Pelodiscus sinensis: one gene and its partner. The protein of the gene in region 2 interacts with the protein of the main gene of each other region in a pairwise test. Links are inferred from orthologs where the notes say so. Each region holds a gene or a part of one and is shown on either strand. Other genes may lie near its edges.

Region 1 (7,557 bases), on a different chromosome or scaffold from region 2:
CAGGGTATTTACTCTGTGGATTGACCAGCCCTTTGTGTTTAGATGGTTTCATCGTTACCCTGTAGAGCAATGGCTCTCAATCAGGGAAACATATTCCTGGGGGTACACCAACTCATCGAGCTATTTGCTTAGTTTTATAACAGGCTACATGAGAAGTTCTAGCGAAGCCATTACAATCTAACAGGTCTTACAATGAGTTGTTCAGACTGCTCTATATACGATACACTGCAATGTACAGACCACTATTTATTCAAATTGATTTTATAATTATTTGGCAAAAATGAGAACGCCATCAATTTTTCAGTACTAGTGAGCTGTGGCCCTTTTGTATTTTTATGTCAATCTGTAAACGAGCAGGTGTTTTTAAGCGAGGTGAAACCTGGCGTACTCAGACAAATCAGACTCTTGACAGGCGCACAGCTGTCTCAAAAAGTTGAGACTCACTAAGTACAAAGGAGAAACAAATGTTATGAATTTCAGGTCAAAGAGACCCATGCAATCATTTAGTCTGGCCCCCTGAACAACACAGGCCACAGAATTTCACCAAGCGGTTTCTGCATCAAACCACAACTTCTGGTTGAGCTAGACTGGCGCATACACTTGAGAAAGAAAATCCAATCCTGGTTTATTAGAAATCTGAAGTGACAAAGACTCAAATGCAGCCTTAGATAGGGCCTTCCAGTGGTTAATTCCCCTTCCTGTAAAACATATGCCTAATAAGTTATACATGATAAGGCCCTTATAAATACCTACCAGGGAACTGAAAATGTATATATACATTTTCCCCCCAGGAATTCAAAGGGTGTTCTCTAGCAAAAATGATTTTTTAAAATGTGTTTATTTCAACTAATCAGCACCCCCTTAAATACTCTTAAGTGCTTATCAGCGAGGCAAATTGTTTAAGATACAATGTTTAACCTGAGTGATTCCTCTAGCACCAAAACTTCAATGTGGTAGTTTGGAGTTTCTTTATCAAGTCTGATTTTTTTAACACCTTGCTTTTTCCCCCTCAAAGAAAGTTTTCACTATCATCAAACGTGCAACCGGCAGGCACATCAGGCTGCACTGAGACGACACAAGCCTTTTACTTTGCTATACATAAGTCTGCTCTACGGCTTTGTGCTCAATAGACTTTTTTACAGAAATCCCCCATCATAGTACTGTAACAGTGGGCGTACATGTGGCTACTGGTGTTTTTACAATATAGATGCCATGTTCTATAGGTGAATAGCTTCCAGACAGCGAGCACACATGCGCACACACACACCCCTCTCTCCATACGCAGACTTAACACAGACCCAACACAAAGATACTGTCTTGAGCTACTTGGTCCCACACTCTGGTCTCTAACTCTGTACTTCTCAGACTCCCTATCAAGACAGGAGGAGATATATGGAGGGTGCAGGAATTTTAACTGCTTGACGGTAAAAATGTGTTCGATGGAGCCCTTGGGACTCCAGCGGTATCAAGGAATGACACAGGGATCAGGCCCAACAAAGACTTCCATCAGCATCAGTCCTGCTGCACCCTGTGGCTCCCAAAGCAGGGGAGATGCTCCAGCACTATGCACCCAGGCACCAAGGATCCCTGAGGCCCCATGCACCCCTGCTGACTCCGCCAGTGTCATCCCATCCTACCCCATGTACAGCAGGGAAACACATTCCAGATCAATCCCCTCGGGCACCCTGCTTATCTCCTTCCCTGAGGTGCCTCACCATGCCCGTAGGTGCCATGAGCCCCGACACCCACCTCAGTGCACTTTGGACCATACAAACCCTGACCCCACTGTTCCTCTCCCTAGGAAAATGCAGTGAGGACAAAGCAAACCGCCGCACCCCCGGCCAATCCCAATGCCCCCAGTGCACGAGGGGCCACGCAAATCTCCCTAATCCCTGCCGATCACTAGTGCCTCCCAATGCCCAGCCCAATGCACCAAGGGGGGAGGGCATGCAAACCTCCCTGCCCCCCTAGTGCCTGGTGCCCCCATGCCCGGCTCAATGCATGGGGGGGGCATGCAAACCTCCCTGCCCCCGTGCCTGGTGCCCCCATGCACAGAGGGGGGGGGCTATGCAAATCTCCCTGCCCCCCCGTGCCTGGTGCCCCCATGCACAGAGGGGGGGGGGCTATGCAAATCTCCCTGCCCCCCCGTGCCTGGTGCCCCCATGCACAGAGGGGGGGGGCTATGCAAATCTCCCTGCCCCCCCCCGTGCCTGGTGCCCCCATGCACAGAGGGGGGGGCTATGCAAATCTCCCTGCCCCCCCGTGCCTGGTGCCCCCATGCACCGAGGGGGGGGGCTATGCAAATCTCCCTGCCCCCCCCGTGCCTGGTGCCCCCATGCACAGAGGGGGGGGCTATGCAAATCTCCCTGCCCCCCCGTGCCTGGTGCCCCCATGCACAGAGGGGGGGCTATGCAAATCTCCCTGCCCCCCCGTGCCTGGTGCCCCCATGCACAGAGGGGGGGGCTATGCAAATCTCCCTGCCCCCCCGTGCCTGGTGCCCCCATGCCCGGCTCAATGCATGGGGGGGGCATGCAAACCTCCCTGCCCCCGTGCCTGGTGCCCCCATGCACAGGGGGGGGCTATGCAAATTTCCCTGCCCCCCCCCCCGTGCCCGGCCCAATGCACGTGGGGGGGGCGGGTTGCAAGCTCCCCCCTCCCGCAGGCTGCGGGTCCCCGGGGAGGCGGGCCAACGCCGCCCGTCCCGCCCCCTCCCGGGCCCCGGAAGCGCCGCCCGCCCGAGCCGCCCGCCCCCTTCCGGCTCCCCGTTGCAGCAGGGTCGGGGCCCCTCCCCCCCCGGCTCCGGGGCCCCGGGCCCGGCCCCTCCCCCGCGCCCCGCCCCCCCGTCCGCGGGCCTCGGGGCGGGGCTCCCGCGACCTGCCCGCCCCGCCCCCCGCCCGGGGCAGCGGCGCGCGCGGCCTGCACAGACCCGGCTGGAGCGGAGGCGGCGGCGGCTCCGACCCCCTCACGGCGCCATCTTCCTCCTCCTCGGCCGCCCGGGCACCGCCCTGAGCGGCCCGCCCCCTCAGCGCCCGCACGGCCAATCCCCGCCCGACCCGCGCGCCTCCCAGCCAATGGCAGCGCAGGCCGCCTCGGGCGGGCCAATCGGGCTCCGCTATCGCCTGACTGACGTCCGCCGCGGTCAATCGGCCCCAGTGATGGAACGCCAGCCGCACCAATGAAGGGCTGATTTGAGAATGACGGACGGCCGCGGAGAACCAATAAGAGGGCCGATGTCTGATTGACGGCGCTGCTTACCAGTAGACGGGAGACCAGACTTTCGCCCACTAGTAATTGATTGACAGCTGTGGGGGGGGGGGAGAAGTGGACTTAAAGTAGGCGGGATTTTTTTCAGTAGTGTTCCACGATTGGACACTGAAGAACAAGATTGATAGGTTCCTTAACCAATCAAAGAACGACGCTATCCAGTGCCTCCTCCTATTGGCTCCTCGCAATCAGCTGGGCCTTGAATTCTGGAAGGTTAATAGCAGCGACAGCTGTTCCGCCTCAGAGGTGGTTGCATTTCCCTGGCTGTTCCCCTCCCCCTCTTCCAATGGCCAGCACTTGTTCCAGATTGGCTGCAGATGGTGGGCAGCCAGCTGGGGCTGAGCCCCCCCCCATGCTCCCAGTGACTAACCCAATGGGTTTGTGGCTGCCGAGCCCCCCTGCAACATCTCACCCACCCGCCTCACCAGCCACTTTTGCAGCCAGTAGCCCCACTGCACCCTAGAGGTGGCTGCATTTCCGTACAGCCCGGCCCTCCTGGTACAAAAAGTGCTCTGGGATCCCGTGCGATGAAGGAAGTTACTTATTAATATGTAATCAAGGGGGTGCTATTCGTAACATTAAACACATAAGAAAGCAGCAAATAGACTGATAGCACGGTAAAGACTAACGAAACGTGTAGATTGTTAGTCTTTAAAGTGCTACCAGACTATATCTTGGTTTTTAAGTTTTTCCTGTTACAGACTTAATTCGGCTACCCCTCTGAAGCTATCGAACACCTAGGACAGTATTATGAACTGTGCTGCCCACTGAGGCACTGGTGCTATCCAGATACTCAAGAACTGTCCTCGCTGCCAGGCGCCCACAATCTAAGAGCAAGGAAAAGGAAGTTAAGGGAAAGGTGGAACTTTGCTTTTTAAAATCCATTGTCCTGTTCCTGGCTCTATTCCTGAGGCCTACTACTCAACAGAGCTAAGGGCAAGATTGTCCAATATTCAGCACACAAAACTGGAAACAGATTTTTCAAAAGATTTCAACTCCTGTTGCGGCATCTAAACAAGGAGCAGATTTTTACAAATGTTCCGAATCTAGCAGCTCCCAGTGTGACGTGACCAGAGTATGGACAGAGGCTCATGTTTACGTGCAACAGCTAGACCTGACTTACCATCATCCCTTGTATGGAATGGAGCAGGACTGGGGTGGAGGCTCTTGAAAACTAGTCAGTTGAAACTGGCTGAAGAGGTCATTCGGAAACTCCAGAGGGAGTCAAATACTTGAGAATTTGCAAATCGGTTCTCAGGATTCTTGCAGTACTCGTTCTATCCTATGTGACACTGTGATTGCCAACCATGCGGTCTGCCCAGAGTCTGGAAACACAGGGAAAACATATTCTATGCGTTTGTTCTTCCTTCCTTTCTCTTTATAATAGTAAGGGCCCATCTGATTGCTCTGGGCATTCTCACAACAATTTAAAGAGAACACAGGGCCTTTTTTCTCAACCTTTTTTTATAAAGTACCCTCTTTTAAAAAAAAAGTAAGTACCCCTTTAAAAAAATTATAAGTACCCCCCTCCCCATACCTACAGTTTTCAGACACACACATTTTTTTTTCTACCATTGCAACCCATCTGTTTAAACAACTTAATCGTAGGCAGGCAGGCGATGACATTTTTGGGTGTAAAAAAGTACAAACGCTGTAAAAAGTAAAACAAAAATTCAGTTTTCTTCAAATTTCAGTTGTGGTGACGTATCCCCCAGACTTCTGTTGAGTACCCCTAAGGGTCCTTGTACCACTGGTGGGGAAACACTGCCCTAGCACATGTTTGGGTACCACACGAATCCAATATTAATGGGTATGGATTAATCATACATGTTCTTGCCCACCAATAAAAATCATAAACTCAATCCCTGGTGATATTTATGATTATATTAGCTATACTGCAGTAACTTACTAGCCTCTGGCCTGACCCAGGACACCACTGCGCTAGGCATTAGACAACACAGAACAAAAAGATGACCCCTTCCTTGAAGAGCTTAAACCTAAGGGCCTGATCCTGCTCCCATTAGATGGGGACTAATTTAGCTACAACTGCTCAAGAGAGATCTTGGAGTCATTGTGGAGCGTTCTCTGAAAACATCCACTCAGTGTGCAGCAGCCGTCACAAAAGCAAACAGAATGTTAGGAGTCATTAAGAAAGGGATAGAGAATAAGTCAGAGAATATCTTATTGCCTCTGTATAAAACCATGGGACACCCACATCTGGAATACTGCGCACAGATGTGGTCGCCTCATCTCAAAAAGATCTACTGGCATTGGGAAAGGTTCAGGAAAGGGCAACAAAAATGCTGAGGGGTTTGGAGCGGGTCCCATAAGAAGAGAGATTTAAAAGACTGGGACTTTTCAGCTTAGAAAACAGGAGACTAAGGGGGGATAGGATAGAGGTCTATACAATCATGACTGGTGTGGAAAAAGTGAATAAGGAAAAGTTATTTTCTTATTGCCACAGTATAAGAACTAGGGGTCACCAAATGAAATTAACAGGCAGCAGGTTTAAAATGAACCAAAGGAAGTTTTTCTTCACGCAGTGCACTGTCAACCTGTGGAACTCCTCGCCAGAGGATGTGGTGAAGACTAGGACTTTAACAGGGTTCAAAAAAGAACTAGATACATTCACGGAGGTTAGGACCATCAACGGCTATTAGCCAGGAGGGGTAGGAACAGTGTCCGTAACCGCTGTTTGTCTGGAAATGGATCACAGGGGAGGGATCCCGTGAGGATTCCCTGTTCTGTTCCCTCCCTCTGGGGCACTGGCAGTGGCCACTGTGGGCCGACAGGACACTGGGCTGGATGGGCCTTTGCTCTGACCCGGTCAGGCCGCTCTTAGGTTCTTGTGTTCAACAGAACTCGCTGGGGCCGTCTGTCCCAGAGCCTGGCTCCTCCCTCAATGGGCCGACCCAGCTCCCAGGACACCAAGAGAAAGAGCAAGGTGGGAGCTGCCAACGGGCCAGACGCAAAGGTGCATGTGGGCTCCTGTAGGGCAGGATCATGGGGGCGGAGGAGCAGAAGCGGGTTCCAGGCTGGACTGTCATTGACAGCCGCTGTGCTGTGCCCCCGGCCTCCTGGGGGAAGAGCCATCAGATCCCCAGCAGCAGGACTTTATTCTTGTGCGTGTCTCACCCGCAGGCCCCTGCGTCCGGACAGCCGCCTGCTTGCCACACACGAGGGTTCGGTTCTGCAGCGGACCGAGCACGCCGCCCCATGGCCTGCCGCCTAGCCTGGGCCTTCCTTGTGACTTCTGGTGCCCTACGCAGCCCGAGCACCGAGTGGGCAGCGGCTCTGCAGGGGGAGGGGCTGTGGGGGCAGGAAGGCTGGCGGGGGGTCGGCAGAAGGGGCTGTTCGCCACCCTGCCCCCGATGCTTGTAGCCGGCAGGGGCAGGCGGGGTTGCAGGCTCCTCCACGGAGCAGCCCAGCAGTGGCCCGCCGGGTTTGGCAGGGCTGAGATGGGACGCCGGGGTCCTGCAAAGTGAGCCAGCTCTTCCTGGAGTTTGGGGGGGGGTGCAACCAAGCCCCTCCCCCCCAACCCAGAGAGAGGGGGCATTTGGGCACAGCGCTCGCTCCCAGCTGCACACCCCCCCCCCACCCCGTTCCTGGAACTGGCTTCCCCACGGCAGAGTTTTGCTCGGATTCCGGCGGGCGCCCGGGCTTTGATCTCGACCTGCTGGCTGCGGTGGGGAAGGCGGGTCCCGACCTGCCCCACACGGGACCACGGCCTAACGGGCTGAACACAGGAGCTTCCTCCCACACACTGCTGGCTCCCTGAGCCCTTAAAGCCTCAGGGCGAGGTGGGGGGCAGGAGAATTGGAGGGGCCCAGGGCCCGAGTGACGGAGAGACTCAGGGGAGGCCCTGGCTGGCCTAGACCTCGGGGCACGAATCTCCCCAAAAGTCCACACTCCTCTGGCGTCCCAAAGGCACAGGGTGGGGGAGCGTCCCGCTCCCTCGGCCAGCGCCTTGTTTGGGGGGGCAGGGAGCCCAGAGGGGCAGGGTGGGGGAGCGTCCCGCTCCCTCGGCCAGCGCCTCGTTTGGGGGGCAGGGGGCCCAGAGGGGCAGGGTGGGGGAGCGTCCCGCTCCCTCGGCCAGCGCCTCGTTTGGGGGGCAGGGGGCCCAGAGGGGCAGGGTCGGGAGGGAGCTGCCCTGGAGCCAGAGTTGTGGGGGGGAATAGGAGGAAATGGGCGTGCAGGGAAGCCGCCTGGAGACAGTCGGAGATTTGAGCTTCTGTCGAGGAAACAAACTGAGAAAATACCGGACAGAGAAATGTCCAGTGTCCCCGTCAGCAC
Region 2 (7,554 bases):
CATCTGTGTGGGAATATTAAAACATCTTCTGGTAGGACACGCTATATAAATAAAGAATGCCATTATTATCTGGAAAGTCTCACTCATTTTTCACTCCTGTTGAAGTTTATGGGAATTTGACCCAAGTTCATATATGAAAATCCAGATCAGAGGAGGTGGGTGGAGGCATGGAAGAAGTGGGAGGATAAAGTTACCTCTTCCACCTGTTATATCTGCCACCACTCCTTCCCATATCCACTGCAGGGATCCCTCTCTGGCTGTGTAAATACTATGGACATGGAGAAATGGGGATTGAGATGGCAAGAAGGATATAAAGACTGTCTTAATAAAAGCTTTATTTAAAAAAAAAAAAAGCAAATTGGCACTGATTATTGTAAAAATCTAAAATAATGCTCCCCAGTAAACTGAGCCAAAAACCGTTACTGGAGTTGATATACTTTTAGCTGGGCCTGTGCCTAGAAGAAGGTTATACCCACAAAAGCTCATGATTCCATATACATTTTTTGTTAGTCTCTAAGGTGCTGCTAGACTATTTGTTGTTTAAGTTTACCACCTAGTGGCCACATTTTGTTTTTAATAATAAGAGATCATAGATATTTCTTACAGGCCCAATCCACCGGACGACAGAGCCACAATCAGCCAAATGCAGCAAGGTATTTCAACTCATTTGCTAGCTTTAGAGCCAAATTCAACAATGACATAAACGGTGGTATAAATAGGTAGAAATATGGATAGTGGGGGAAAGTGCTGTAACTTGTATGGATTTGGGAGTCAGTGGCTGTGCAAAATGAGTGGAACCGATATGTCAAGGGAGGAGAAAAATAACTAAAAGGAATGAGACATCTAAGACATCTATTTCAGAATCTGGCTGTGAGCTTCAAGGCTCTTCTCATGCACCGCTGTTTTACATTAGGCATGTTTATGTGCTACACAGTTACTGGAGAAGAAGATGGTCTCTAAATGCAAAACATAGTCTCAGCCTTACACCCTGGTTCTAGGTCCTTCTCTTCAAGGCAGTGATCTTATCAATTCTTTACCTCAACTCACCACTAGACCTGTCACCTCAGGATCTGCTCCAATCACACTTTAGTAGTTGTGGTGCTGCTGCTTTTGGGGTAGTTAATGTTGCACGATGCCAGCGGCTGTCATCCCTGCTCATGGAAGCAGATCCGCTCAGATCCCCCTGTTTATTTGCTTCTTCTTTTCCCATGATTATGGTGCTCCATGATCCCCGCACTCCCCATGATACCTCCCACATAGACTGACCAGCTGCCCAATTTTTAAAGGGGCAGTCCCATATTTAAGCCTTCCTGCAGGTGTCCCCACTTTTTCTTAAAAATGAGCAAATTGTCCTATATTTTCTTTCTCTTCCTCCCATCAGTACCGGTGGGTCCTACTCAGTGTTTTCTCTAAGTTGTGAGGCTGTATCGCTTCACAGGTGATTAATCAGCCCTGCCGAATCAAAGGCTTAGGGCTCCATGCACAGAGCTGACTGACTGGGCGGGACTGATTAATCAGCTGTGAAGCTTAGAGGGCACAACTGGCTCTACTACTGGCCAGTATCCTTGCTCACTAGCCATCCAACCACCAGTGGTGAGTGAGGAGGCGAGGGGATGGGACGGGGTCCAGTGGCTGACGACGGAGTTGAGTGTGTGAGGCTCGTGGTCAGCTAAAGCTGCAGCATGTGTGGCTAGTTGTTCTTCCTACTTGTCCATCCATGGAGTCCCTTCTGCATGCCAACTCCTGGCCAGCAGGCTGCCCCGCCCTATTGCCAGCCAGCTCTGGCTGCTCGCTCCAGTGGCTGAGGAACATGGGCAGGTAGTGGCTAGTTACGTGCCACCTCTGCTGCCCACCCAATGGCCATTTACATGCTTCCCATCTCACTGTCCTCTCCCTGCTGTGCCTGTTCACTCCCCCCCCCCCCCCCGCCCGCATTGTTGTTGCTACATCTCCCTCCTGGTGAGGCACATCCCACTCCCGGCACTGTGCAGAAAACCAGCCACTGCCTGGTCAGATCATTCATCTTACCAATAGCCTGGCTTCCCTCACTGCCTCCGGCTGGTCTTGCACCCAGGGAAAGGTCAAGATCCTCTGGCCTAAGGCACTGCCCAGGAAGAGCCGAGACCTTCATGCGCCAAAGCCCTTCACACCGCCGGCATGAGGAAGCTTCTCTGCTCCCTGGATAAGCTCTGGAGTGGCAGGGAGGAAGCTGCTTCCAGCTTGTTTGTTCCTCATCCCTGCAGGTCCCCAAGCAGGGTGCTTAGCAGCCTCTTCACATGCCCTAAGTCCTGTCCCTAGGGAGTGCTGGGCTGCTTTGTCCCCTGGGCACTCTCCCCTGCTGAGCCCCCTCTCTGGCCAGGTTGGCTGATGCCCCTGCAGCCAGGTTTCCTGGATCCTGGTGCGCAAGGCATCCTTAAGGCTTAACCCCTTCCTGTCTGTGCTGTCACCAGGGACAGGAGGCAACTGGGGGCTGTGTCCGTGACCAGCAGCAGCTTGGAGGTGTCAGTTGCCTTTCTACATGGTGCTGGCAGGAAGGGACAAGCTGCTTCTAACCATAGGGGAGAGGGTGGGAGGGAAGAAATGACCACTGGAAAAACATGAGCCAGGGCATCCCCACTCTCTCTCCTCTTCAACTGGAAGCAGCTCCCCTCCCTTCCCTCCTGCACAGTGACGAAAGGCTGCTCTTTGCCATGTTCTGGTATGAACTCCAACAGAAATCTGGGGAGGGGACCTGTGACCCTGCATGCCTCCAAATGTTGTCCTGAGAAGGTGTACCAGGAGAGATGGATCTGTCCCAGGAGGCCTAGCCAGGCGTGAAGGGTAGAGAGCACTGGATAGGGAGGGTTGGGTCAGGTCTGTCAGTTACCCCCATCTCTGTGTGAGAGGAGTGTACAGGAATGTGTGCATGTCAACTTTCCTTGTGCAAACCCTGAAAATAAGAAAGTAAAAAGATTCTAGCTATGTGGTATTTCATTTTAACAGGGTCTCAGTCAACCTGAGGTTAATTTGAACATTTGTACTGCATGGTTCTGATTGATTGTCATTGAGCTCTCTTGAATATGAGTAATGTTACCAGGTGTTCCATACTCAGCTTAGGGAAATATGGTCACCCTACTCTGACAGCTATTCTTGCCTGTTGCTGTCTCTAATATGCAGAATCCATATGGATTGGGAGCAGGCCTGCTGAAGTGCTATACCCTTCTACCGGGCTACTGCTGCTCAGTGACTCCGGGATCCTCTTGTGGAAGCAGCATATTGTCCCAGTTTTCTATGTCACCATGGCATACTGAGTGCTGCTAACCCCAGATCTCTTATTACCATCTAACAACACTGAGACCACTTGCAGAAAGAATAACCAGTCTGCTCTACAGCCTTTGCTAAAAAGAAGCTAACTTTTAGCTCATGCAGTAGATGCACTGAGCTCCAGAGGTGTCAGGTTCAATTCCATCTGTAGACAAACGAGGTCTGTATGTGTCACAAAGACCGGGTTTTGCAAAACCCCATGGCTGTGTCTAGATTTTGCAGAAAAACTTGCCAGCTGTCTACACTGGCCGCTTGGATTTCTGGAAAAGCACTGTCGATCTCATATAAGATCGTCAGTGCTTTTCCGGAAATATTATGCTGCTCCTGTTTGGGCAAAAGTCTTTTTCCAAAAGACTTTTGCGCAAAAAGGCCAGTGTAAACAGCACAGTACTATTTTCCGCAAAAAAGCCCCGATTGTGAAAATGGCAATCAGGGCTTTTTTGTGGAAAACCGCGTCTAGATTGGCCATGGACGCTTTTCTGCAAAAAGTGCTGTTGTGGAAAAGCATCCTGCCAATCTAGACGTGCTTTTCCAAAAATACTTTTAACGGAAAACTTTTCCGTTAAAAGCATTTCCGGGAAATCATGCCAGTGTAGACATAGCCCATGATACCAGATCCAAACCAGAAAAATGGGTATGGTCCGTTTCCAGCAACAGCCAGACACACAAGCCCGCCTGTGACTCAGTGTGGTGGTGAGAGGAGGGGGTGTAATTACCAAGGGTGACACCACACTGGCATAAAATGGGGCTAGAAAACGCAGGGCCTTTTTGGACTACAACTCCCAGCAGGCACGGGGGCACGCTACGGTACTACACATCCCAGCCTGCCTCTTGGGAGCACAGGCCTCGCGCACGGGCGTCTGGGAGTTGTAGTCAACATCGGCCTTGCGGCGGTTAAGGGCGGTTTGCGGGGAGGCTTCTCTAGGCGGCTGCGCGAGCCTCTCGAGGAGGGCGGTGGCGGGGCGCGAGGGAAGGAGCGGGAGCGGCGCGGCGGCGCAGCGCCTGCGCAGTGAGGACGCGGAGATCTCTCGCGAGGAAGGACGCCATTATCGCAGCCGCTCGACAAACACCACGAGAATTCGTCACCACACACGGTAACCGCGGCTCCCCGCGGCCGGCTGGCTGGGGCCGGCCTCTCTGGGGCCTGAGGGCCGGGGCGCGGCACGGCTGCCCCGCTCCTCACCGCCTTGGCCTAGCAACCGGGCCGCGAGCGAGAGGCGCAGGGAGGGGCCCAGCCGGGGGGGGCTCTCCCCCAGCTGGGGGCGCTCTCCCCCCGCCCCTCCTGCCTGTGGGCTCTGGTGACTCTCCACTCCCCCCCCCTCGCCCCGGCGGACAGGCCCCCGCCCCGTGGGGCTGCACTGTGGTGGGGTCTCTGCGGGGGGGGCTTCCCCCCCCCCGTGTGGGGCTCTGGCGGGGGGTGTCTCTGCGTTCCCCCCCCGCCGCACTGTGGGGGAGGGGCTGTTCGCTGCCCAACCCAGTGCTGTCCCACTATAGTCCTAGGAGGGGTGGGGCTCAGACCCCCCCCCCAGTGGTTGCAGGGCTAGCGTTAAGGGGAGATTGCGCTACTTTATTCCTTCCCCCACGGGTAGCACTACCCGCGGGGGGGGGGCTGCCCCACCATAGTCCTCAGTCCCACTATGTCCATGGCTGCAAGGCTAGCATGGGGGGCACCCTACATTTATTCTCCCATGGGTATCACAATCTTGAGGGAGCCGCTCTGTGGTTGCGATACTCTTATCAAAAGGGCTGGTGAGGCAGATGTAATTCCTTTCCCCTCCACCCCAGCATAGCACATACACTACATGGTGAGTTTTTTGGGAAGGGACACTTTTTTTTTCCTCCAGGGGCACCTTCTACGCTCAAAATGGATTGTAAATAAAAATTGAGAGGCTGTTCGCCCCCCTTTTCTTCGCCCCAAGTGTCACTTGTGTACTTTTGTAAATGGAAAGAGGTTGGGGCTTAGACGTACTGACAGCTGATTGCACAAATGATATAGTGGATCTTAGAGGGGGTAGCTGTATTAGTTTGTAACTTGAAAAGCAAGTTGTCCTGTGGTATGTTAGAGACTAACAAAACCATATAGGCTCATGAGCTCTTGTGGGAAAAGCGGCGAGGAGTCCTGTGGCACCTTATAGACTAACTGAAGTGTTGGAGCATAAGCTTTGTGGGCAAAGACCCACTTCGTCAGATGCATGTCTTGTGGGAAAGGCTCACTTCATCAGATGAGTTGGAGTGGAAATAACAGAAACAGATACATAACGAAGTACATGCCAATTTTTTTCATGCCATTATTTGCAAGTGCAATTCTTTTGAATTGATACTTTCTGAACCAGTGTGCACTTAGCCATCAGATGTTTTGTCCTCTTGTCTTTGGAATATTAACATGTTTTTAAAGATTTTTTTCCCTCCTTATATGGTGAACAGTACTAAACTTATAACCAAATTTTACTAGGGGGCTTTATAATTTATATAGTCATTTATTTTTAGTATTCCCAAGAGAAGAATTTTGTTCTTTTAAAAGAAGCACCTATTTAAATGGGCATTTGGAAACTGAAAAAAAAACAACCCTTCGTTTTCTGAAAAAGTTTTGCCTGCTATTTTTACTGATAATTCCTAGTAATACAAGGGAAAGCTTGAGCATTTTGTTTGCTACTTCTCCAGTTAACTTTGTTTAACCTTCCTTTCTGTATAGTTAGTTTCAGTTTAAATACAGTTTCTTTTTTGTAGTTTTTATAGAGAAACACTTTAAATGTGTCTGTAAAACCATCAAAATGTGCAGGGGAAGAATGGTACTTGAAACTATTTTTAAGTCTTGAACACTGCAACTTGAGTTTCCCTTTATTTTCTTTGAATAAAACATTAATTCATTTAAATAGATGTTAAATGAATGTTGTATAAAATCTATCAATAGTTCTAATTGATCATGAAACCCTGTAGTCAACTTCAGTAAGTACATCACTCTGTATTTTAACTTACTAATTCTATTTGCAATAATACATTCAATGATGTCAGATAGGAAAAACTCGATAAATTGTTAGAGCACTTAAAACATTGAATTTAGTTTTCATAGATGTAAACATCCTCTCTTTCAGAAAGTCTTTTGCACATTTTGTGTTTTGATTTGTCCCAAAATCTTATTTATGGTAACTTGTAGGTTAACATCTTTGAGATCCTGTCACATTTAATTCATCAAGTGGCACCAGCCAGGCCTAAAATTGTAAGGCTCTTGAAGAGATTAGTTATGTTAATGCCTAATAGTATCACGCTATTCCACTGGACATTCTGCTGTCTGATATTATATATGATTAGGATTCAACTAGTGTAATTTCTTCTAAACAATTTGTTTGAAATAGTCCAGTACTTAGGTTCCCTGGACAAAAATAAGACTTTTCTGTGGCACAAAAGATGTTTTTACTGATTTCCACTAATTAGCTAAGGAAAGATTAAATGTATAAGAAGAGTATTCAAGGTTGTCCTGATTAAGATCATGATTCTACAATGAGTGCTGTGTAGCTTCAGTCTACATTAACCAAATTGCAATGATTTACATAGGCAAGTTGTAGGTTTTTTCTACCCGTTTTATGGTCACATGAAAACAAATGAGATGAATTCACAGAACGAGTGTATTCTCATCTCTTTATTACAACTTCCAGACTCTAATATTTTTTACCGAGATATTGTTTAAGTTGGAATTTTGGTGGTTCACATAAGAAATGTATAGAAGGATACTTCCCAGATTAAAGACAACCATTTGTTTTTAATATTGGGTGGAGATGGGAATTTGTCTGCACACACAGAAGCACACACAAAAGTAACACTACAAAAACATTCTGCAAGTTTTTGGAATATAGTGAATCTACCAGGCCAACCAATGCAGTATTGTCACAGGAATATATAGAAACCTACCAGCCAAATATTTTTTTGTTGTTTAAAGCAGTTACACTGTACATACTAAACTCACTTCTAATAAAATCTTTTTCTCATGGGTATAATTACTCTTGGCCTAATTCGAAATAGCTTATTTTGGCGTTGTTTACACCTCAGGAAGTCAGAGTTAGTTAAAGCACTCTTCCTCCGACTTCCCTCACTCCTTGTAAAATGAGGGTTACAGGAGCCATAGTAAGAAGTCCTCCAACTCACCATTATTTCAAAATAATGGCTTGTAGTGTAGATGTGCACTAACCTTACTCCGAGATAACGCTACTGTGTAGACATAGCTTCAGTGCCCTCTATCATTATAGATTGTTCTTC

The links.
Region 1: the proteins of BANP (region 2) and SP2 interact in binary tests that used the Homo sapiens proteins (3 or more experiments, as listed by UniProt). The two-hybrid records come from large-scale screens. The link is inferred for Pelodiscus sinensis from reciprocal best matches to the Homo sapiens genes BANP and SP2.

Annotation. Positions count from the first base shown.
Region 1 is NC_134739.1:13,602,620-13,610,176, reverse strand, and holds the start of SP2 (transcription factor Sp2), read right to left. Parts: upstream 3,074-7,557; 5' UTR 2,927-3,073; intron 1-2,926. UniProt on the Homo sapiens protein: Binds to GC box promoters elements and selectively activates mRNA synthesis from genes that contain functional recognition sites.
Region 2 is NC_134722.1:5,025,465-5,033,018, reverse strand, and holds the start of BANP (protein BANP), read left to right. Parts: upstream 1-4,236; 5' UTR 4,237-4,397; intron 4,398-7,554. UniProt on the Homo sapiens protein: Controls V(D)J recombination during T-cell development by repressing T-cell receptor (TCR) beta enhancer function. Binds to scaffold/matrix attachment region beta (S/MARbeta), an ATC-rich DNA sequence located upstream of the TCR beta enhancer.